Linked DNA regions of Caenorhabditis elegans. The protein of the gene in region 1 interacts with the protein of each later gene in a pairwise test. Each region holds a gene or a part of one and is shown on either strand. Other genes may lie near its edges. The genes, in order: rbm-26, hcp-1, rde-2 and sas-4.

Region 1 (5,640 bases):
TGCTTTTTGAGAGAAGAAAAACCTATTGAACGCGAGCGCATTGTTGAGAAATTTTGAAAATCGTGACGCAATTAAAAACTCTGAAAAAAGGACACGTGTCACAAGAGTGCAGCACGAGATACTGTGACTAATAAATAGAATCAGATGAGAAAATTAATATTAAATCAAATACAAAGCGCCAAACTTTCTAAATAGATGACCCGCATTTCCGACTAAAGCAATGTGGCGCTTCTGAAGAATGTGCTGGAGAAAAATGAAAGCTTAATAGAAACCGGCCGCCGCAGACAGTATAGATCAATGCCTTTGCGCCAATCTAGGATAGTTCATCTTTCCGCCTTTCAAAATGCCGAGAATTTCTTACTTTCTGCAGTAATTATTAGGAGTCACAAACCTTGATTTTCGAGCTTTTTGCGTTCAAATTCGGAAATAAATGAAATGACGATCAAATCAAAGATAAAATGTGACGATTGCAACGTCGAAGCAAGAAAAATTGGAGGAATAAAGTTAAGAAAGAACAAAGAAAAAAAAAATTAAAATCATTTATTTTCTGGCAATTCACGGCTAAATACGACGAAAACACACCGGTTTCCGCAAAAATACCTGTGTTTTATTGAAAATTAACTCGTTTTTTACTCGTCACTCGGGAGGGGCTCTTTTTGTACTCGTTCACTTTTCAGTGGCCCGTCTTTTATTCTTTCGCTGATTTTTTTTCGAGATCACAGCCATTATGTATTCTTTTACTTTATTTTTCTCATTTAGTGGAGTTATTGCTCTCTTTTGCTCTTTTTTGCTGGCTTTTTCATCAATGAGATATATCGATAGAAATAATGCAAACAACAAAAATGAACGAAAAAATAATGGGAACTTGTCAAGGAATCAGGTAAAAATCAATAATCATTGCGATTCTGAACAGATCACATGACAAGTTCTTAGCCAAGAACAATAAAAAATGAAGATGAAAAAGTATTGCCAAATGGGCAGTTAAACTGAAGACAATTAAAGAATGATAAGAGAGGAAATGTGATAAATTATAATGGATATACAATAGAAAAAATCGAAACAGTTTCTGATAGGCAACAATAATAAACGGGAAGAAAAATTGAGGTAAATCTGAGGTTAAATAGGCTAACCAGCCAGATAACTAGAAAAGTAACCATTTGGAAACAACGAGTAAGATCACCAAGACAATATTTTGAGATCAAAGTTCTAATATAACTAGGACTAATCATTTAGCAGGTCATCTTCTTCGTCAGACTGAAATCTTTTTTTAAATTTAATTTTCAAGTGAAAACCAAGTTACCTCAAGATTGCTCGGAATTGCAGCGAGCAACTGGTCGGCAGACATGTTCGTATCAGTTGAAGGGATCTCCTCGATTCGCTCCGTCTTCAATTCCATCTCGAGGTCCACACCATTCAGAACTTTGCCATCCGCCATTGCCTAAAAATTAACATCTTATTTAAAATCGAGTCCCGTTTAAACTGAAAACTCACTTTCAACGCATCACCTGTTTTTCTAAACGGAAAAACGGCTGTTATGAGACCATCGTCGTCGGCTTTAACACTGTGATCAAAAACCTCACCGAACTTCTCCATATGTGCCATCAAATCAGTGACCAATTCATCCTGGAAATAATGTGTTTTTAAAATCTACAATTTAAAGAAAACTCACTGTTACACCTCGAACGATGACAACACTGCTCATTTTAGATTGGGGCTCGTCTCCATCGCTTCCTGCTTTTCGCTTCCGGGTCGAATCGTCCGATTTTTGTGGATTTTTAAGCTCTTCAATTTGGGCTGCAATCTCATCAACCACCATTGACTTTTCTGATATTTTGAGCAGGATTCCGTCGACTTCTTCCTTGCATGCCTTTATTTTTTTATGCAGATGTTTGACCAATTTGGTTGCATTCTTCTTATCAGTTTCATCAGTAGACGTTCTCGCCTTGATGAGCAACTCCTTCTGTTTAACCATCCACTTGTCAAGAATAATATTATGCTGATTCTGAGCCTGAACTAGCGTCGATAAAATACTCTTCTCTTTCGTTAATCGTTCTTTAGCATCCTGGATCTGCTTCCGATAGTTTTGAGCAGCAACACTGACAAATTTTGATTCTTGCACTGTGGCAATCTTCGGCTTTTCGACAGGTTTTGGTGGAGAAGTTGGAGATGACGGCTTTCCAGTTGCGTTTTCGGATCCTTCGCCTCCAGGATTATGCCAAAATACTTTAATAAACCTATTATTGAGAACTGGAGTTGGAGACTTGTAAGCTTTGCCAGCGTCAAATTTGGAAGCATAAGTAACCAGAGCTGAATCGATTTCTCCATTATATCTAACTTGGATATTATCGACAGTTCCAAATGTGGCAAAATGTTCATTGAGCTTTGCGATCGTGTTCATCTCTGGTGGAATCTTGGCAACTTGAAGAGTACAGTTATCTCTATTGATCGCTCCAGTGAAACCTCCACGGGCAAATCCACCACGACCTCTAATGTTTCCTCTTCCACGTGGTGCTCCACGGAAAGAACCCGGCTGAGTAACAACTCCTTGAGCAGCGGCGGGTGGTGGCTGAGAGTAAGAAGAAACAGATTGGGGAACATATTGTGCAGCTACATGTGGTTGTTGCCATTGTCCAGGGATCGGCGGTGGTGGTATACTGTAATTGTTGAGAGCAGGAGCTTCAGGGTTGTATTCACCAGCGGCAACGACGACTCCTGGTGGAGGTGGATTGAGCGGATTGTATCCGGGTGGAGGCAGACTGCAACTGTATGAGATTAGATCATGAGAAGGGAGATTTTGCAAAGAATTGTTAGATAAACATGGGACGTACGAGAAATTAGGAGCGGTAGCCGGGAGTGGAACCATTGACCCAAGTGCATTCTCATCAACTACAACCGGGTCACGACCGTGATAGTATGGACACTGATCTCCGCGAATGCAATATCCACGTTCCTCGAAATCCTTACAACGACGACGACTGCTTCTTGATTTGTATGGTGGAGTTCTTGAGCCACTGGATGATCTGAAAATGTTATAAGTTAATCAGAACCCGAATCAAAGTTAGCCATGGTTACACATAGATGGGATTTAACTTTTCTAAAATTCATTACCGTGATCTGGATCGAGAACGACGTTTGCTGTGACGATCACGATCACTTGATGAAGTACGCCCACTTCTTGAAGTAGTCGCGCGGCCTCGACGATCTCTTGGGGACCGTGAACGACGGCGTTCCTTGTCACGAGACTGCTTCTCCTTTTCTCGATTTTCCGATGGAGGTGGACTAATTCGCTTGCGCAATGGGCGGGACTCGGCTTTGCTGGCTGAAGGAGAGCTGCTTGACTTTTGAACACCCGGTGGAGCTGTAGGTTTCGATGGCTTCTCAGCTGGTGCCTTTTCTTTTTTAAGATCAGGCGCAGTTGCTGAAGCAGAGGTAGGCGCTGTTGATGCCGGCATATAGCTTTTGCTTGTGAGTGCTTCGAAGACTTTGTCGACGAATGGAGCAGTATCTGTAAATGTATTAATTGAATGACGTGAGCATTTCAAAAAATGAAATTTACGGTCTGTTAAAAACACATTTAACTGTTCATTGGTAAATGCTTTCAGCTCATCATGTCCCTTATCCGGTTTCTTGACTAAAGCCAACACGTATTTCGCGAGAGCATTTGGATCAGCGTCAGTTCTTAAAAAAAAGTATAAGTAGGCTGTCTAATCAATGAAAAAACTTACATTGGCGAGAGCTCATCAGAGAGCCAATCGAAGAGAGCATCCTCATTGTCGATGTGCATGCTTTCTTTGATATTTTCTTTCAGGTTTCTTACCGAGTCTAAAAAAAATTCGTTAAAAAATTGGGAAACGAAGATCACAGCGAGAGAGAGAATGAGAGAGTGAGAGCAGGTGAAAGTAGAGAGAAAAAAAAAGAGTGAATGAAGATGAGACGCAAAGAAATGCGAGAATGTGTAATTAGGGTTTTCATTATAAGGGAGTTATTAAAAATACTCAAAATTTGAACAGAAAGTAAAAATTTCGAAAAGAGAAATAACATTATAAAGATTTCGCAATATTTAGAAAGTTAGAACAAACAGAACATTTCGAAGAAAAACACTTCGTTTTTTCGATCTCAATAAACTACACAATTTGCACTAAAATCTATGAAACTAAATGCAAAATGTTGAAAATATAATTATCATTCTTGCTTTTTTCAACTACAATTGGTAACATTAAAAGTTGAGTGCATTGAAACAAAAGAGCCAGTAGAATTATAATCTCTAAATGATACACTGATAATAATAAAGAACAAAACCTAAAATGGACAAGAAAAAAGGAGGAACCAATGGGGTACGATAATGATCAAAAATTGGCAGCAGCAGCCAACAGGCGTTGCGTACGTATCTCGGCAAGCGGCAGTGTGTGTGGAAACACTGCGCATAAATACGAAACATGGAAGGAGCGAGGAGGACTAGACAAGAAATACACACGGGCGGTCGAAACAAACTGGTCTCCGTCAATGTTTTCTGGACTTCCAGGTTACCGTACTCTTTTTACACGCGGAACATTGTGTGTGGTGATTGATTGTCAAAGAAAAAATAACTGATTGATTCTGACGAATAGCGAAAGATGGATTGGGATGATGATGATGATAAGATGAAACTGAATGTCTAAATATAATTGGCAATATTTTTGATAAAACCTTGTAACATACCACCGGGAAAATGTAAAAGATTAATTCCTAAAAACTATTGATGGTGAATTTTCATCGATTTTTTTAATAATTGCCTTCATTATCGGAAAGAATTTGTGGGTTTATTGTTCTATTTCAGTTTTTTTTTTCTTAAATAAATACATATATTTTTTACGAAAAACTATGAAAAATCGATGCAACTCCCGTATCAACAAAAGTCTAGAGGTACAGTACTCTTTAAAGGCGGACGTATTTTTGTATTTTATAAAAAGACGTGTCGAGACCAGGCACCTTATTTTTGAAGCAAAAATCGAAAAATCTGGGTATTATCAAAAAAGTTATTTTTATTCTAAAATTACGAGCTTTCATATTATTTTAGGATCACAAAACGGCGCAAATAGAAATTCGAAAAAAAGTAAGCTTTTGAAGTTAATAAATTTGAACTAGACCAACTTGATCGTTAAAATCTGATTGTATTGATTGGAAAGTACTATTCTAAAATCCGGATACTAAAAAAACTAAAAATTAAGTAATTCCAGATGTCAAAATGTTGCGAGAGAAGAAGGAAGCATCCTCCGCTACAATTTCGAAAATCAGATCCAACATGACAGCCAGCGAGCTTCAGAGATAGAGACAACGCAAAAAAAATCGCGGCATGAGCAGCACTCACTGAAGGGGAGAAAGAACTCACACTCAAACTCATTCATTTATCCGCCAGCACCATCCATATCGTTCCTATTTACTTTTTCTTTCGCTTCATTTTACAGGTACTCGGAAATACTTTCTTTTCGTTTTTTACCCGCTTGTCTCTTGAGAAAGGCGAGTAGTACATTGAATAAAACGTCATTTTTTAGTCAGGGTTTGTTTTTTCTGATCTCACATGCCAAAACTCAAACATTCAGTTTTGTTATCTTGATGTAACTTAATTGTTAACTTAAACTCAATTATTTTTACCTTGCTCAA
Region 2 (7,544 bases), on another chromosome or scaffold:
CGAGTAGCCATTGTGATGGTTGTTACGAATGACACAAAACCGGAGAATTATGATATTGCTATTCGCATGTTTTTTTAATAGTGTTATACAAACAGATTTTAAAAAAACAAATATTTAAAAAAAGTAAAAAAACTGGTTTTTTTAAAAGGATTTTTAATATTTTAATTTTTTTTTAATTATTTATGTTAAAACATTCTTGGAACATGCCACATTGCCCTGGATTTCTTTAAAGCCCATATTTTTCGAAAATTTGCCAATTTTCCAAAACTTTGACTGGAAATTTTAAAAACTTTAAAAAACATTTTGGAATGTTTTATTATGACGTTCTATTGTTATTTTTCAGAAACGGTTCGTTGCTACTGCAAAATCCATAATTATGAATTTGTTCTCGCAGTTGATACTGATTTCAAATGTGCTCATAAAGATGTAAGTTCTAATTTTTTTTAATTTAAAAAAAGCTAACATTTCAGAAATTTTTCCGCCGCCACTGTGTTTCCGCAAAGATTCTCCCATTATTTGATGCGATCCTATTCTTAGACGCTGATATTGGTGTTGTGAATCCAAAGCGAAAAATTGAAGAGTTTTTGGATGATGGAATTGATGTTACATTCTATGATAGATTCTATAATTGGGAGATCATGGCTGGATCTTATATTGCAAGAAATACTCAATATGCTATTGATTTATTAAACGGTTAGTTTTTTATTCGAAATTTTTGTGATGAATTTAATAAAATTGCAGAGTTTGCTGATTATGAGTACAAGTTACCAAATAGTTTTCATGGAACGGATAATGGAGCACTTCATGTAACTTGGTAACTTCCTATTTCAATTTTTATTTTATTGTTTAGATTTTCCTTGCCGAAAAGTTGTTCCCACAGGCTTCTGCAAATACGAAAGTATGCAAAAAAGCTTATAACAATTCTAAAAATTTTGATGATCTCTTCACCTACGAGTCATGTATCCGAGCAATATTTGGCGTATCCACTGATTTTGGAAAAGTTAGAATTATGAAAAAAGTAGGTTTAAAATTAATACCACAACATCTACAATATTAACTGTACAGGGAACAGGATGGGCTAAAGACGGCTGGCTGACATCAATGATGTGGCATCCAGAGTTAGATTTCATGTTCCATGGTTGGAAAACGAATCAATTGAGAGAAACGCCGAATGTGAAGCTTGAGTTGGCAAATTACCTGAATTTTTTAAAAATTATTCAAGTATTACAGGCCTAGCCAAATGGGACGAGATTTTTGGTATAATCCTTTGAGTGGGCCTATAGATCTTCAAAAATGTAGTCCTCAAAATTCGACATGGTCATACGATTCACGACTTCGTGGAGATAAAAACGAAATTCTGAAAAGCCTGAGAATGTTCGAAGAAAATGTTGCATTTCAGCAAGTTTTGTCTTATATCCGGATGATGGGTTTATTGTTTCAGTAACCAGCAATTTTAAACTTTAAATTCAGATTTTGTGTATGTATATTTACTTGAATTGTAAGACAAGATATATTTTTGGAATAAAAATTTGTGAAAACTACATAAAACGCAAACGATGGTTTTTAATTTTTTTGTTCCAATCAACCCCATTTTTACAAGGCCACAAACTGCAAAATAAATAAAATATACCGATTTTCACTTGTAGACCTATTATATTTTGACCTTATGGTCGGTAAGAGCAACCGTGCTCCACCGCACATGGCGGGAAGGTTTCAATTTTGAATCACCACGCGCGGGAATCCGGCACTTTTCATTTCGTTCATTCATTCATTATTCATGAACGTTCATTTTCAGTTATCTGACATTTGGAAAATACTGTTTTGTTACTTTATTTGTTGCCACATAACGTCAAAAAGTTTCACACGCAGTATTTAATAGATATATTTCTAAAAACTTATTTTCCCCTTAATTTCCTGTTTAGTACTTTTTTCCTCCTTTTTTCAAATCACGCGCCCTTTTTGATTTTTAATATCCCTTGTGTAATTTCCATAATCATTATTGCTAATTTATAGATAAATCGACGTTTCTTTCACAATGGACGAATCGCCGATATTCGACAACGAGAACAAGCGCTCAGCTGGAAATGTAAGTTGAATTTTCTCAAAATTTTAATTAAATCAATGACAATATAAATTATTTCAGAAGCGCCAGCAAACCGAGTCGCCATTTTCCGCCGCTACGCCTAAATCACGACTAGGAAGAGAACCGAAACGCATTTTTGGAACTTCGTCGGGCAATATGGCCGATAGCAACCTGGAGGAGACCTGCCTCGAGCATGATTCCCGCCCGTCTTCTGCTTCTTCTATCACCCCTGCCGACAACACAAGTCTACTGGATTTGTCTACAGTAACAGCTTTGGCTACTGATGATGCATCCTTCGTGGGAACCAACGATGCTTCCATCACTCCGGGCAGCAATGTTGATGTGAATTTAGAACAATCTGAGCTCTACGACACCTCAAATTGCACGAGCAACCTGAGCATGGTTCAAGAAAGCGACGAGACGGACGCCGATGCCACACTGTCCAATGATTTCGATAATCAATTGGCACTTGACGGAGAGACTACGCCTACTGCTTCTCGTACTCCAATGAGCCAGATTCTGAGCCGAGAATGTACTCCAACAGTATCTAATCCACAGCTTCTCACGGAAATCGCCAAAGGAGTAGATCAGCCTACAAAGCCAGTCCGAGATGTCCCCCAGTCCCCAGTGCTTCCTGTCAAAGGTCACATTGACTTCTCACTGTAAGAAATTGTCGTATTTATAGCTTAAAACAAAATAATTTCAGACACGAGTTTGAAATGTTGGAGCAGAATTCCGAGCATGAGGAGTCAATCAAACTTCTTCAGTCGCAGATCGAGCTTCTCCGTCAAAGTCACAGTCAACAGCTCAGTGAGATTCAAGAAGCTCGAATTTTTGAGGAAAAGATGCTGACTCAGCAAGTAGATTCTGCAATGAAAAAGGCAAAATCTGACCGCGAAGCCGCTAAGGCACGAGAACAAGTTCTCGAGAAACAAGTTCAGGAGTTACGCTTGAAGCTGGAAGAGCCTGACGAAGAGAAGAATCAGTTGGTACACAATCTTGCTGCTCTGAACGCTCAAATCGAGGAGTTGACCCAGAAGGCTTTGAAAGTAGATTCGATGCAACAAGGAGCGACTGCTTCGGAAGATCGGATTCGGGAGTTAATTGGAGGCCATCAAGAAGCAATCAAACAGCTTGAGAATACCAAACAAATGAACGAAAGTCTTCAGCGCGATCTAGTAGAGAAAGAAGCGAGATTCAGTGAAGAGGTTTTTATAGAATTTATTGCCGAAGTAAATTTAATTAATTATTTTTAAGATGGAAAGGATTCGCACCGAATCACAAACAACAAGTGAATCGCTGAAGTATGAGCACGAACTTGTTCGCAAGATGATGATTGAGGATATGGAGAAACTGGAGGCAGAAGTACTCGCCCTCAAATCCCAACAAGCAAACTTGGAGATCCAAGAATTTCACGACAAGATCAAACAACTTGAATTGGAGGTGCAACTGTCGTCTGAGAACAAAGAAAAACTTCAAGCAGAGTTAATGGTGGTACAAGAAAAAGCTTCCGAAAACATCAAGAATGCCGAGGAAAAAGTGAACGGCCTTGAAGCAGAGGTTGGCTTAATTGAATAATCACAAATCAATATATATATTTTTATTTTTCAGGTCGAAAAGCTGCGATTTGAAGCCACCAATAATTCTCGTGTTGTGGAGCTCGAGCAACAACTCGAAGAGTTCAGATCGCTCATGATTAAAGAGATTTCTGATTTGGAGAACCAGTTAGAAGCTGCAAAACTTGAGTCAGGATCCACGAGTGAGCCCAATGCACAGTTGGAGGCATCGCAAGCTACAATCCAGGAATTGACTTCTGAGATGAAGATGCAGTTGGAAGAAGTGAAGAGACAGTCTGATGAAAACAATTCGTTGAATGTACATCTGACATCTTCAAACGAAAAAATTGCGGAACTAACGTCTTCATTGGAGATGGTGGCTGCTCAACTCTTATCTTCACAACAAGAAACTGATGTTGCCGTCACTAAGGTGGAAAATCTGGAGTTGAAGATGGAAGAGGCTCATCGAATGTATTTATTGGATATTGAACTGTCAAGAGTAAAGATTGACGAACTTCAGTCTTCTATTGAGGTGCTTTCAAAGCTTGAACGTGAGGTTCAGTCATCCAATTTGCAAAACGAAGAGTTGAAACTTTCTCTGAGGAATTTTGAAGAACTTCAAGCCGATCTTGCCATGTCGAAAGCAAAGAATGAAGAACTCGAACAGCAAATTGAAGATTCTAGTCGGGAGTTTTCTGTCATCACTGAAGCAAGTAAGGAAATGAAGTTGAAATGGGATTCGTCTGAAGCTCAGATGTCTGAAATGATAGCTTCTTTGGCCGCCTTCCAAGAAGAAATGCAATCAACTCAAGCTGATGCTGTCGCTTCTGAAGATAAAGTCAAACAGGTGGAATCTTTGTTGGAGAATTTGAAGGAACCTTTGGAGGAATTAAACAATCTTCGTGCCAATTTGAAGGATTCCAACGATAAGATTTTGGATCTTCAATCTCAACTCGAATTGGCTCAGCAATCTTCGGATCTCGCTGATCGTCTTCAGGAGGACTTGAGAACTTCAGATGCCAGGGTCCAAGAATTGAATATTCAAGTGTCTGAACTCGAACAGCAAATTGAAGTTTCTAGTCGGGAGTTTTCTGTCATCACTGAAGCGAATAAGGAAATGCAGTTGAAGTTGGATTCGTCTGAAGCACAGATTTCTGAAATGACAGCTTCATTGACCGCCTTCCAAGAAGAAATGCAATCAACTCGGGCTGATGCTGTCGCTTCTGAAGATAAAGTCAAAGAGTTGGAATCTTTGTTGGAGAATTTGAAGGAACCTTTGGAGGAATTAAACAATCTTCGTGCCAATTTGAAGGATTCCAACGGTAAGGTTTTGGAGCTTCAATCTCAACTCGACTTGGCTCAGCAGTTTTCGGATCTCACTGATCGTCTTCAGGAAGACTTGAGAACTTCAGATGCCAGGGTTCAAGAGTTAAACGTGCAAGTCTCTGATCTTCAAAGCGAGCTTGAAACTGCTCGCCAGGACACCAATGCTGTTCAAGTCGTTATGGAAGCTCTTAAATCAGAACAAGGTGAATCGTATGAAGCTCTTCGTGCTGAACTTGACGCTGCTGTTCAAGAAAAAGGCAGATCTTCTGATCTCGTAACTTCGTTGGAAGGTAAAATTCAGGAGTTAGAAACTGCTATCGAGAGTAGTACAGCTGAAAACGTTCAAAAAAGCAAAACCATCCAAGACTTCACCGACAAAGTGTCACTACTTGAATCGCAAATCTGTGAGCTGAAAAGTCAAAATGAGCAGATGGAAATTGATACTAACTTGAATATGGATCAGTTATCCGAAATGTCTTCTCAGTTGGAATCTGCAAACGCCGAGCTCATTGAACTGACGAGGACTTCCGCTGAGACTATTGATAAGCTTCGTGGAGAAGTAGAAAAGTCTACAAAGGCAATGATGGATCAAGAAGAACATCTTGCGGAACTAGTGGCCAAGATTGAAAGCCGAGATGTTGAGGTTTGACGAAATTTCTCTTTTATATTTATAAAATTGTATTTTTTCAGAACGCGGATCAAGCTGCAAAGCACAAGGAAGAACAAGAACGCCTCCAATCCGTAATTGATACTCTTCGGACATCACAGAGTACAATCGAAGAATCTCAAGCCAAGTCAGAGGAGTTGAATTCACGCATTAAAGAGCTTCAAGCATCAATTGAGTTTGCACAAAAGGCCCTAGCTGACACCGAAAACGCAAAGCAGGAGAAAGTCGAAGAACTCGAAAAAGTTCAGGAGCAGATGCTAAACCTCGTGCAAGCTTTCGAAGTGGAGGTTAGTTTAACGGACATTTTTTTAATTCCAAATTTATTGATAAATTTTACAGAAAGCATCGATCCGATTGGAGTGGAACTCGTCTTTGAGCAATGCAAACGAAAAACTCGAGGCTGCAGAGGAAGCACTCTCTCAGAAAGAGAACACGATTGTTACTCTGGAGTCGCGGATCGAAACAATCTCACAGCAGTTTGAGGCTCGCCTGGAAGAAGCAAATGTCTGGAAGTCGCAGGCAATGCAACTCGGCACTCTCACTCAATCGCTTTCGCAAATGCAACGACAGCTTGGAGAAATGCATGAGAAGATGGAAGCATCTGACCGTCGTGTCATTGAAGTCGAAGAACAAGCTCAACACGACATCACTTTGATTCAAGTTGAAAATAAAGAACAGTCGGAAGCACTGGAACAAGCACATTCTCGTATTCTGGAACTTGAGGAAAAGTTGGTGAGGGCTGAAATCGAAATCCAGCGATTGGAGAAAGTTTGTGATGCATTTGATGATGACGAGCGGGAGTATAAGGACAAGATCATGACACTTCAGTCCGAGATCAAGCAGCTGAAGGGTGTAAAGACGCCGCCACGAGTAATGGGACTGATCGAGCAAGCAAGACTTGGGTGAGTTGAACATGTATTAAAATTGACAAGTTGAGCGTTTTATTTTCAGTGTGAAACAACTGAGCCGCGAAAGCTCACTTGTCGAACCGCAAAACTCTGCTCATGAGGATGCCTTCGAAGATGCGCAGAACTCCTTCCAAGATCGTCTTCAAACCATGTCGAATACTACTGCCCGGCAGATAGATGCTTCAAATCATCATCCGGAGGATCACGTTTTGGAGAAGTCGGCTCGCGAAACTCCATCGAAGAAGAATCGATCAAACTGCCAACACCAATAGGCTATAAGATTCTCTCACCCCACTAGATCTCTCACCGTCCCCCACTAACATATGTGCCATGAATACCCGTTCTGAACCCATATTTACTTGTCAAATATTATTTGCTTTTAGGGTCAGAATAAACGGGTTTTTAAATTTATCAACGATTTTTAGTCTCATTAAAATACAATCAAAGAAGATCCTGAATAAAGGTGACGTCATTTATAGTGAAAAAGTGATATATTACAGCTCAGAAATTTCACAGGATTATTATCATTGCAAATTTTCGCGAAGTTCGATGTTCTCTCCTTTCGCATGTTCAACAATCCATTTAATCAATAGATCCTTCGAACTGATAGCGTCTAATTTGATAGTCCACTCCAAGTTGTTATCTTTGTTCAGAATAATTCCAACATTTGGTTCAGCGTTTTCTGAATTAATTTGATCAGTTTGATCAGAGGTAATGCCAACTGGAGATGTCAGTTTCACACGTATCTTCTCATCTGTGCTACGTGGTACATGATGCTTGATTGTTAACAGTACAGGCGGTCCACTTCTTGTATTCTTTACACTAATCGTCTGCTCGGTGGCATGAGTTGAATGTTTTGTGATGTAACCGCCTTCTTCATGGAACTTTTTGGCTGGCTTATATTCGATACGAATGGCCGTGTCCACGCCTAGAGAACAGGTGAATCGTTCACCTGGTGACACATCTTTCATGTGACTCTGAAACATGAATTGCAATAAATTCTC
Region 3 (4,468 bases), on another chromosome or scaffold:
GCAGTAACCATAAGCTTTCCAATAAGCGCAGCATCCGAATCAACGGCATTCTCGAGCATATCAATGCGACGCTTAGGGATCACAAGAAAATGAATTGGAGCTTGTGGAGAGACATCATGGAATGCGAGAGCCTTAAATAAATATTTTATGTGATCGTTTGCCTGATCTTACATACCTCATCATCTTCAAAAATGATTTTCGCTGGAATCTCTTTTCGAATTATTTTTCCGAAAAGAGTGTCGTTGGCTTGAACATCTTTGTTAATTGCCGCCAAGTGGGCTTTATCTACTTCCGACATGTTTCTCTTTGTAAACCTGAAAAATGGTGGAATCGATAAAGACACCTTGCCTACAGTAACCCTGACCTAACTGGATTACGGTAAGCAAGACGCAAAGCGGTTTTAACCAAAGAGGAAGCCATACTAAAATATTGAAAAATGGGCAAAAAATAACCAATATGCAATATATTTCAAACGATGAAAACGCTAGACAACGAGAAATAAACAATAAACATGTGAAAATAAATGCTTTAATCAGTAAAATGATACAAAAAATAATCAAAAAAGTTAACACAAGAACAAGAATTAATGTACCAGAATACAATTTGAACCCATAACGTGATTTGTCGATTGTGCAGTTTTTACTTTCGAACTGAAATAATAATTTGAATAGAAAACCAAGAATTCTCCTAGGTTTCTTCGAAAACTCGGTTTCCCTCTTACTTACCATTCATGAAATATTGATTAGAAGACAATGGCGGAAGCTCTCGAATATCTCCATTTGTGAACTGTTGATAAGCTTCACCTCCCTTTCCAATATGTAATGAAACATTTCCAATTGGTTTTCGATGAACAACCCACGCGATTAGGTCAAAATCTGCTGATAATTTCGAATTCAAATGATTCAGAAGACGTTCTTTTGGAATTGTGACAAGTACTCCATTTGTTGCTTTCAAATAATAAAAATGATGATCCGAGTTCATCTCTGTGTTGTCATGATATTGCTCCACTACTAGTTCAGGTTTTGAAAGTGCGATTTTTACTTTCATTTCAAGCACTCCTCCGAAGCATCTGACCGAGTTTTTAAAGCAATCAATTTTAAGGAGAGAATCTGGCGTGTCTGGTTTCTTTTTCACTTAAAATTAAAGTTTTTTTAAAACATTGGTAAATTGTAAAATACCTGCAATATGTGTATATGGAATCTTGAAAATGAGCCTATCTTTTGTTTCAATTCTACGAGGCAAGATATCGAAGAATGCCACGTCTCCGAGTTGAGGGGATCTTTCCAATCCTTCACACGATCTTTCTTGAAGCAAAACGTTTATAACGTCTCTTTTGGCTGTGTACAAAATTGCAAAGCCATCGATTTTTTGCACAACGGTGCATAAAGCAGATTGAGGCTGAAATATGGTGATGAAGATTAATATTATTGTTCTGGCATTACGTACTTTTTCGGAATCAGTTTTATCTTGACGAAGCAGTTGAAGCATCGTTGGAGCTAAATCTTTAATAAACGGTCTCATCGGAATATTAGATGTTCCACGTGTTCCGTATGTATCTTCATCATCAATTTCATCTTCATCTGATAACTGATTTGAATCAATAACTGGTGCTGCTCGACTTGAGATTGTAGTCTGGGACAAGGATGAATCAACTTGATTCAATTCGATACTTTGGCTTCGAAAAGTTTCCGGAGGTATTTCCCGATTCTCTGACACAACTCTAGAGGAATTGTACGAATCAGATGTCTGCGAGTTCATTTGAGAATGCACGTCTTCTTGATGTTGACTTGATTGTTGATCTTGTACGTCGGTTTCGGGTGTTTGAACATATCCATTACCAGTCATAATCTAAAAATGTGATTACTTGAAAAATTCTGAACTATAAGTCACATACATCCAACAGTCTTGTATCATGAAGATACTGTACATCAGAATCAACGACTGGATTCGGGAGCTGAAATTATATTATGTAAACTGCAGGAGGTTGTGGCTTATATGTTCTGGGAAATTTTGATAAGCAAAAACCAAAATGTGAACAATTCAAAATGAACCAGGACACTTTTGCCACATACTGATTGATATCCATTTCGGCTTACAGCATCACAGGTGTGTAGCTTTTGTGGATCTTCATGCACACTCAATGCGACCCAACCTGCCAGAGATGCTTGAGCCTGCAATATTTTTATTTTAATAGTTTTTTTTAAAATCGATAACTTACTTCAACAATAAAACTGCGTCCATCATAGTGTTGACATGATGATTTGATCAGACTAAAGTCGTCAATAATATGATCATAGGAAATATCGTAACTGGTGAAATCATACAAATTATTTTTCCGATCTACTATTACATCAAATCGAGCTGTTATCTGAAAAATTATAAAAATCCGTACTCTTTATTTATTAAAACTTTTTCCATTTGAGATTACCAAAATTTCTCCTTCATCGTTAGCCTCATACTTCGGAAAGAATCTCGCCGATGAATTTCTGTGATTCGGCAAAACGTCCCAGTTTTCATATCCACAACTATTTGAGGAATCCAATACGTATTGTCCCACGAAGTTCTGACAAACAGTTAATCTAAAATTGCTAGTTAATAAAATCAGATAAAATAATGTCTAACTTTAGCCAGCGTCCTATCTGCAGGCTCTGAATATTTCCACTGATTTCGACAAATCCATCGATATTTTTGGTATAGAAAAGATAATTTCTGTTTCCATATTTATTGTAACCAACTACCAATCCATATATTTGGGTTTGCGGTTGTTGAATTTGTGGTTGGGGATTATACGACGATGATGGCTGACTTTGAGCATAATAGTGATTTGGAGGAAAATAAGAATGGTACCCATTATGCATCTGAATAGCAAGAAAATGAATATAGTTATAAATCAGAACTGATGTAATTAGCAATGACTTTTAACATAGACGTGAGCACAAATGGTATAAAACAGTTTGAAAGCATTTATTGTAAATGGTTCCCCGAAACAAGAAACTTATTTTTTTCATAGAAAAATTAATGTGATCTTCTCGTTTCGGAGAAACACCAGAGATGAAGAATAGGCAAAAAATAACAAATTAAGAGCAAAAAATATGAGATTCATAGAACAAACTGGATTATTTCTTCTGTGCTTGGGCTGCTGCTTGAGCCATCATCTGGAAGCTTTTTTGCATATTCATCACCTTGTCTCGCTGTTCCGTACACTTCTTCGAAATGTCTGAGATGCTGGCTTCCACTCGTTTGCTGAAAATTGTAATTAAAGTTTTGTTGCATTTTAAAACGTTTAAAGGTAAAATTTATTTGTTATTTTTATTTGTTTCGTGTAAATCAATAGCGTGCAAGAAGTAATACTAAAGAAACATGATAAACGTTACAACTCACGTCTCAGAGTCGATAAACTCAAGCCGTTTCTCCACAGTCGATCGAGCCTCCTCCAAATCTTGACGAACAAGAACCGCTCCGATGAGTTTGTAGACTTTCGAGTCGGATTCCATCAGATCAAGCTCCTGAATGAAGATAACATGAAAACTGAATCTCAAACTTTTTCTTACCGCTTTCACATTTTTACTCTCAGTTAATCTCATTTCCATCTCTTGGCGACTCGTGAAGTACTTTTCGCGGTCTATAATTAAACGATTGAAAAGATTGTTTAAATTAACAGTTACTAACCTTTTTCAAGAGTTCTGAGCTTGTTAACTTCTTCTTCGAATTTAGCCATATCAGCCATTTTGATCGTTTTTAGTGGGAAAAGAAGTGAAAGAAAACAAAATTGTGTTTAAAAATCTAGAAGAAAAACGGGTTCTGCGCCATCCTTCAAAGCGCCAGCAAGCTTTCTTGACGCATTTTCCGTTTTTGGCGGAAGTTCAAAACTGGATTGTATATGTTAACTTCAATTTTGTTATGCTTTTGCTAAAATTTCATTCAATAGTGACAATACGAAATATTTTCAATATAGATATTTCCAGAATCGTGAAAACCAACTTTGCATGGAATCTTGATAATATTCTTCGCGTATCTGAAAGTTTTAGCTTAATTATATACAATAATTAAATAAGTTTCTTGTAAGTTCAGGGTATTTCCCTAGGTTCTATAAACATAAAAATATATTCTTACCTGTTTTGTCTTTTTCAATTCTGACTCTAGTTTTGATAATTGAATTTCAGAAGAACGAAGTCGGTCTCCAGCAGCGTTGAAATGCTGGAAAAAAAATCAATTTTGTTTTAGCCTTGATCCACTTTTTTGAAAGTCTAAAAAAAATTGAATAAAATATTTAATATACACTGTATCCAAATATACTAATAAATCATAAAACAAATCGTAAAACAGAAACCATAAACTCACCGATTTTTCAATTTGTTGTGTTTGAATAAAATCATTTGAATCGGTATATAACTGCACTTTGATTGCATTTCTTGACTCCCGATAATCACTCATCACATTCTCAACTGCTTTTTGTCCAGATTCAGCG
Region 4 (6,612 bases), 2.6 Mb from region 1:
CTTCCAACGGATGCCACTTATCGTAAGCTTAAGAATCTAAGATTTTTAAACAATTATATCGTTCAGACGATCTGATGGCTCGACTCTACACGCTTCTTGGTGTCAGCGGTAAGACCCATATGATTACTCTGAGAACTCAGAAATCATCGAGTGAAGAAGGCGAAGGCGAGTTTTCTGGTCGAGGTGACCCGGTTAGTTTTTTGATATTCTGAATATAAAAAGATAAGGATGATTGTAGGCTCCTCTTGAAGTCGGCGATTCGAAAACTCGTCTCAGTGATCTAAAGATTACACGTCACAAGATGCTGCTCCTGGATGTAGATGATCAGAAGAAAGATGGAAGTGGTGAGGAGAAGAAAGAGAAGAAAAGTGCGGAAAAAGAAAAGAAAATCTCACACGAAAATGTTCAAAGTTTGAGTCCGTCGAGTCGTGCAGAAGATCCGAGATCATCTTGAAATGTCTCCAGTGTTCCAATAAATCTTTGCAATCTGAATCCCGAATTTTGTGCAGAACATTTAAAGTTAAAATTGTTTATAACAGTCAATAAAATAACCATGAAGATCAATATGAAAGAAATGGGGGAGGGGGCAAGTGAAAATTGAGATAGTAAAAAATGATTGAATTATTTGATATGATTTTACAGGAGGTAGAATTAATTATAATTTTAGAGCACTCAGGAGTGAAAAATAATGTCAATGGAATAGATATACAAACCACAAGTTAAAATAAAGGGGTTGGAATTTCTCATTTTTTCCACTGGAACAAAGTTGTTTTCCGACGTTTATCGCCTATCATCTCTGCAGTTTCCAATGTACCTTCACACGTGGAAAGATTCACTTCAAGTCTCAATGTTTTCTCGCTGCATTCAGGTCGTCCAATGATCTTGAGAATATACTGATTGTTGAGACCAGTCGGATCTCCCTGATACCAACGAAGACGGAATTCTGGCTCAACGAGCTCAAAATCGTTGTAATCAGTGACGAGAACGTAGCGACATTGATTGTCGCGATATGTGTGTGTACCGGGATTGTATCTGAAAATTTGATAGGTTTCAGAGGCAAAAATATTTATAACGGGGTTTTAAACCTGTTTTACTAACTTTTTGAAGAATTGAGGTCATATTCCTAAATTTTGGGTTAGACAAAAATTATAGAAACATGTTTTGTTTGAAAATATATTATTTGCTAAAATATCGTTATACTTATTTGAGTTTTTTTAATGAATAAATTAAAATTCATCGAAAAACTAACTAAGGAAAATCGATGAAAATTCTGTTTCAAATTGAGTTTGAAATTACAGTACTCTTTGAAGGCGCCAAATTTTACAATTTTTTCGTTAAAGGACAGATTTTTAAATGTGAAAATACGTGCGCCTATAAAGACTGTTGTAGTTTGGTTTATTTATCTTTTTTCTAAACTAATAAACATGTTTTTATCAAAAAAAAAAGGGGCAAACAACAATTCGACAGTAACGCGATTTTTAAACTACAGTAATATTTAAAGGCGCACGCCTTTTCCCATTTAACTAAATTTTATCGTGCCGAGACATTTTTTGCCGCAAAATGTCACATCTCTTTTTTTATTTTTGTTTCGTTTTATTTATGTAATTTATTTATGTAACCACTTGTGATGGTTTGTATCTATTAATGTGTGTGTGTTTTTTTTTCTACCTAACGATATCTTCTATCGTAATAAATTAAATTAAATTAAATTAAACATCTGGGTAATAGTTTTGAGATTTTAATGGTTTTTCTGAATAATTAATTGGAAAATGAATAGAGACTCACTTTCTCGAAACTTCTTGATTGCTAAAATCCTTCGTAACATATCTTCCGTCCCTATTGAAGCTGAAATACGAAATTTCCGATGAACTTTAAAAAAGAAAATAATCTTACATTTCAGTTTTATACATTCCGTTTTGATAAATCAAATCAGTTCGAACTTCTCGTCGTTTAATACTTATCAATGTTATGTTATTTCCAGGACGAAGTACTTCAACTTGCCTTTGAAATGTATGAATAATTGAAATATTGTATGTGGGGAGATCAATTCTGACTGTTTTATCAACTGCGGATATGTAGATCTGTAAATTGGTCACTTTAATTGACAAAATTCCAATTAAAACTTACATTAACAGCGTTCTGCCGATTAACCCATCGAAGATCTCCATTGGAATATTCGAAAAGAAGACCGTTAGCTATTGTATCCGTCACTTTAGATGTTTCTCCAAGAGAATCTCTGTAGATCGTGCATTTTCCAAATTTTCCCGGCATTTCTTTGACTGGCATCTTCAAAAAGCATGATTTAAAATTTTTTTTTGACAATTTTCGGTAACTCGAAAACTATTGATTTTTAATTCTGGGAATTTTGAAAAATCGGAACTTTCGGCAAATGCTAATAGTAAGCTGTAAATTTTTAGACTTAAAAAACTATTTTTCAAAAATATTAATTTTTTAGTCGGGAAGAAAAAATAATTTGAAATTTTTTTTGAATTGATTTTTTCAGAGCAATATTCTAAAAACAATTTTAAAAAAACCCTGCTTTGATCTAAATATTACCATCAAAAACTCCTGTGGTACAGCTTCCAATGATTGTTCATTTGGTTCATCTGCCCAACTAACACCTCTTTCTCGATTTGATGTAGATGGTTTTCTAAATGTTGTCAACGAAGATGATGATGGATGTCTAGATGGACCATTTGATGTTATCGAAATTGGAACACTTTGATTCAAAACTGGTGGCACTGGATTCGAAGTTTTTCGATTCATTGCAACCTTCGCGAACATCTCCTTTTCTTTATCGTCGCGTTCTTTTTCAGTACGTAATTGTTTTACGCGCTTTTCTAAAGTCTGTAGAGTGCTCTTTAGCCGGTTTCCGTCTTTCTGAAGCTTCTCGATTTCCTCGTCTTTTTTCTTGAGCTTTTCGTCTCGAACACGTATATCCTGTCGATATTGTGCATTCTTGGTTTCTGATGCTCTTAATTTGTCGCGGAGAGTGGCTATCTGAAATTTGACAAGTTTTGCTGGATTTTAAATTAAAGGTTTTATAATAGAATTTCAACTTTTTAAATTCTCAATTTATTTCAATGAAAATTTTAGATTTTGCTTTGAGAAAAATTTTCAATCGAAATTTCGTGGTTTTTCTCGAATAACTATTTCTTGCTTAAATTCTTAATTACCGTTTCTGTGAATTCTTTATTCCTTTCTCCCGTTCCTTTCTTCAATATCTTCTGATCTCGTTCAAGATCTCGTTGATCCCTCTTCAATTTCTCGTAAAGTTCATCATAATCTTCCTTAATTTTCTCAAACTTCTTCTCAAATTCTTCCTCAACTCCTTTTTTGCATTTCTTAAATTCTTCTATCAGTTCTTTCTTAAAATTATTGACTTCGGAAATTTTTTCTTCGAGCTGTCGTTTTGTGGTGTGCACGGATTCTTCTGCATAATCCAAGTGAGCAATAGTGTCTCTCAGTTGTATGTTCAAGTTACGATGACGTCGAATTTCAATTTCAAGTTTCTGTCGGTCCAGTGATGATCCAGGAACATGTATTGGTTGATCATAAACGTGCTCGGGTCGATTTTCATCTTGAACATTTCCATTCTGTGGATTCTGTCGTGATGAGTTCATCATATCATTTCGTCTCAATGGGGCGGTCACAGTAGGTCTTTCATGGTGTTGTAAAAGGCTTATTCCCGTTTGAGCCTCACTTCGAACTAAAAATCTAATCAATCATGTTTTTTTTGTTATTAACCTACCAAGCTGATTAATTCTATTGCTGCCAAGCGGTCGAGCCTGTGGTGTTTCCAGAGAAATTCCTGATAATTCTTGCATTGAAGACGGCCAATTGTGATTATTTGGGCCAACGCCTAAATCGTTCATAATTGGTGTAGACCGAGTAGGAGGCTCAGAGGAGTTTGATGGTGCACAAGATGATGGCGTTGCCAGTGATGTTGTGATTGTTGAAGCTGATCTCATCTTTAATTTTAATTAATTAAATTTTGAATTAGAGAGTATTCGTAGGTTTTGATTTTTGATACGTAAATCTATTCTATGTAAAATTTCAATTATCATTCTGATTTGGCTGTTCTTACCGAATCCATTCTTCTCTCAAAAGCTTTGAATTCGGCAGCTGCATTTTTATACTTTAAAGCATCATCAGACAATTCATGATCTGAATTAACAAGAGTCGAAGGTTCATCAGGCACAAAAGAAGGCATTGCAGATACTTCATCCGTGTCATTGTCTTCTTCTTCTTCAGCGTGCTGTCCACTGTGGCCATGCTCTTCAGCAACGGAAGGTGCGGGATTTAGACGATTTTCCGGCGAAGATGACAATGATGGTTGATCCATTGGAAGAGATGCGGTGGTTGGTGGACGGGTCTCGTCTTCATTTGATATTCCACTGTCCACGGTTCGGGCAGAGTTCGGGAGAGCATTCTGGAATAATTCTACTTAATATTTATATTTAACTAGTCACCACAGTTTTATAACGTTTGTATTTAAGATATTTTACTTACCGACAGACTAAACCTAGGAACATTAATAGAAGGACTTGAAGCAGATGAAAGTTCCGACGTTGGAGGTGCACCAGCAGATGTTTTGTTGTTTCTAGGCTGAACTTCATATATTATTTCGATAAGCCTTGTATTTGCACAAACTACCATTCTAAATCTTGCTGTTCCTTGTCCTTTTCTCAAAAACGGCCGAGAAGGCTTCTGTTCACCGTCGGCACCGATATTTTCATCGGAAGCCATCTGAAGGCTGAAAAGGTTTTTAATAAATAATTGAATTATATTTCAGAAAATAAAGTATACTATCGGTAAGAAACGAAGAAACGATAAAACTATCGATTTTTAAAAACACAACAATTTCATTTCAACAAAAAAAATCTGAAAATATAAAAGACAAAACAATTAGTTCATTTCTTCTCCTTTTTCTCCTTATCCACTCTTTTCTGTATCCTCTCGAGAAGTACATCCATTTGAGCATTCAGATTTGGTTGTCCTTTTTTATTTCTTTTTGCCAATGCCTGATTCATCTTCTTTCTTGATTTATTTGTCGCTGCAATCGTCTCATTTCGCTTTTCTCGTTCGGCTCGCTCTCGTTGTTTCTCCTCTTCTTTTTCTTGCTTCAGACGAAGATATACGTCTTGTGCTTGTGAAAAGCTCATTTTCTTTTGCTTTTTCCTAAAAATGTTGATGATTTCAGATATATTAGTTTTGAAAATAGGAAAGAAAACTTACGATTTAACTTTTTTGGGTGGTTGCGATGCCACGGCAGTTGCATTGTCTGTCTTTGATCGATTTCCCATCTGAATAAACGATTGAGATTTCTAAGAAGAGATTATGTGAAATTATAAAAGCGTTTTGAAGGGATTAAGGTGGTAAACGGTATAATAACCACAGCGGGGGGTAACGAGAGAGCGTGCAAGACGAAGATGACGCAGACAATTCCCGCCGTCGTGCTAGGGAAAATGCTAGTCCACGGCCATCACAATTCTAGGCCATTTTCAAAGAAAACGGAGGGAGGTTCAAAATTTAATTGTTTTTGTTGAGAAAAAGAGAATTAATTCGAATTGTCCCTCATCATCCGCGCTCGTGACATGAATTTCGAAAATATAATTTATGCCAGTAATGAGTATCAAAATAATATTTACATGAAATGAATTGAGCAAGAGTAAATATCACAGTTCACATAATATTTTTGATTCCTATAAAATGTTTCATATTTGATAAAAACAATGATACAAGTTTTTTCACATCGATTTGAAGAAGATTGGAAATTCAAATATGTTGGAAGGATTATTGAAGTGTGAACGCAATTGTAGCATGTAAAAGGCATAAAAGTATTGAAGATCCCTGAAAATATCGATTTTTAAACAATCGTTGATTGGTAAACCCACAGATGACAGTAACCACTGATCAGTCCATTGAACTTGATTTACTTCAATGGAAAAATGAATTTCTATTACAGAACTAATACCACCAAGTAGAGAACAAAGTACTGCAGATGGCATTTCCTTTAATTTCAATATTTATTTTATTCCTCCTTCCTATAAAACTTACCATAAAATTGAATGTAAGAACACATGAACTACTTGAATAATATATTGCAATTATTAACCAAGAAAACGATATTACCATTATAATCGGAGCTGCTATCACCGGAAAGTACTGAAAGTTATGTCATTTCTTTATGGTACCAAATTGTATGATACCTGTAGTAAGTGCCGAGTACTTCCCCATCGAAATTCCTTCTCAACGACACAGTCATAATTTTTGCAGTAAAGAAGATTCCAGTATAATAAAGAGCAGGAAATAATCTAGAATTATAGGTGTAAACTTGAATTTTCTATTGATTGGTAATTCTTACGATGGAAACAGTGTAGAGGTACAGTGGTAGGCGTGTCCGAGGATATGGAGAACTTATTATTTTTGGTATCACTGTGACCATCCTGAACACATTATTATTATTGTAAGAAGAAAAAAGAAGAAATGAGTTAAATAAGGATGTCAATGGGTAGATACTTGCAGATAACTATTTGTAAAATATAATTTTATAAGTTATAAGTAACGGCCTTGATCGTTTAAAGGATACCGTTTATTTTCAAATGAAAC

What was found.
Region 2: the proteins of rbm-26 (region 1) and hcp-1 interact in a two-hybrid assay, tested with the Caenorhabditis elegans proteins (one study listed by BioGRID).
Region 3: the proteins of rbm-26 (region 1) and rde-2 interact in a two-hybrid assay, tested with the Caenorhabditis elegans proteins (one study listed by BioGRID).
Region 4: the proteins of rbm-26 (region 1) and sas-4 interact in a two-hybrid assay, tested with the Caenorhabditis elegans proteins (one study listed by BioGRID).

The regions. Positions count from the first base shown.
Region 1 is NC_003281.10:5,709,730-5,715,369, reverse strand, and holds rbm-26 (C3H1-type domain-containing protein), read right to left. Parts: upstream 3,829-5,640; 5' UTR 3,785-3,828; coding exon 3,726-3,784; intron 3,679-3,725; coding exon 3,557-3,678; intron 3,506-3,556; coding exon 3,109-3,505; intron 3,021-3,108; coding exon 2,829-3,020; intron 2,763-2,828; coding exon 1,670-2,762; intron 1,624-1,669; coding exon 1,492-1,623; intron 1,439-1,491; coding exon 1,301-1,438; intron 1,262-1,300; coding exon of another isoform or gene 1,255-1,261; coding exon 1,222-1,254; 3' UTR 526-1,221; downstream 1-525. Other genes in the region: B0336.12 (uncharacterized protein), read left to right, coding at 5,225-5,308.
Region 2 is NC_003283.11:6,592,191-6,599,734, forward strand, and holds hcp-1 (HoloCentric chromosome binding Protein), read left to right. Parts: upstream 1-2,003; 5' UTR 2,004-2,035; coding exon 2,036-2,086; intron 2,087-2,143; coding exon 2,144-2,745; intron 2,746-2,789; coding exon 2,790-3,291; intron 3,292-3,340; coding exon 3,341-3,643; intron 3,644-3,694; coding exon 3,695-5,608; intron 5,609-5,655; coding exon 5,656-5,919; intron 5,920-5,971; coding exon 5,972-6,534; intron 6,535-6,583; coding exon 6,584-6,812; 3' UTR 6,813-7,018; downstream 7,019-7,544. Other genes in the region: ZK1055.2 (Nucleotide-diphospho-sugar transferase domain-containing protein), read left to right, coding at 1-64, 344-426, 471-693, 742-806, 851-1,018, 1,066-1,184, 1,231-1,444; ZK1055.6 (Protein F37C4.5), read right to left, coding at 7,065-7,517.
Region 3 is NC_003279.8:7,280,014-7,284,481, forward strand, and holds rde-2 (SH2 domain-containing protein), read right to left. Parts: upstream 2,859-4,468; coding exon 2,623-2,858; intron 2,580-2,622; coding exon 2,429-2,579; intron 2,369-2,428; coding exon 2,219-2,368; intron 2,172-2,218; coding exon 2,073-2,171; intron 1,955-2,072; coding exon 1,895-1,954; intron 1,849-1,894; coding exon 1,447-1,848; intron 1,399-1,446; coding exon 1,179-1,398; intron 1,134-1,178; coding exon 726-1,133; intron 651-725; coding exon 640-650; 3' UTR 511-639; downstream 1-510. Other genes in the region: hint-1 (Histidine triad nucleotide-binding protein 1), read right to left, coding at 1-131, 176-298; pfd-6 (putative prefoldin subunit 6), read right to left, coding at 3,117-3,243, 3,382-3,506, 3,552-3,622, 3,670-3,727; F21C3.6 (DUF4200 domain-containing protein), read right to left, coding at 3,947-4,015, 4,114-4,197, 4,342-4,468.
Region 4 is NC_003281.10:8,313,833-8,320,444, forward strand, and holds sas-4 (Spindle assembly abnormal protein 4), read right to left. Parts: upstream 4,757-6,612; 5' UTR 4,750-4,756; coding exon 4,657-4,749; intron 4,609-4,656; coding exon 4,513-4,608; intron 4,433-4,512; coding exon 4,088-4,432; intron 3,972-4,087; coding exon 3,752-3,971; intron 3,710-3,751; coding exon 3,177-3,709; intron 3,001-3,176; coding exon 2,557-3,000; intron 2,287-2,556; coding exon 2,128-2,286; intron 2,082-2,127; coding exon 1,894-2,081; intron 1,846-1,893; coding exon 1,786-1,845; intron 1,033-1,785; coding exon 744-1,032; 3' UTR 517-743; downstream 1-516. Other genes in the region: F10E9.2 (uncharacterized protein), read left to right, coding at 1-22, 67-191, 239-454; F10E9.11 (rRNA-processing protein FYV7), read right to left, coding at 4,914-5,181, 5,239-5,306; F10E9.10 (uncharacterized protein), read right to left, coding at 5,797-5,853, 5,898-6,014, 6,061-6,168, 6,213-6,317, 6,368-6,448. UniProt on the Caenorhabditis elegans protein: Required for centrosome duplication. Plays a central role in determining centrosome size.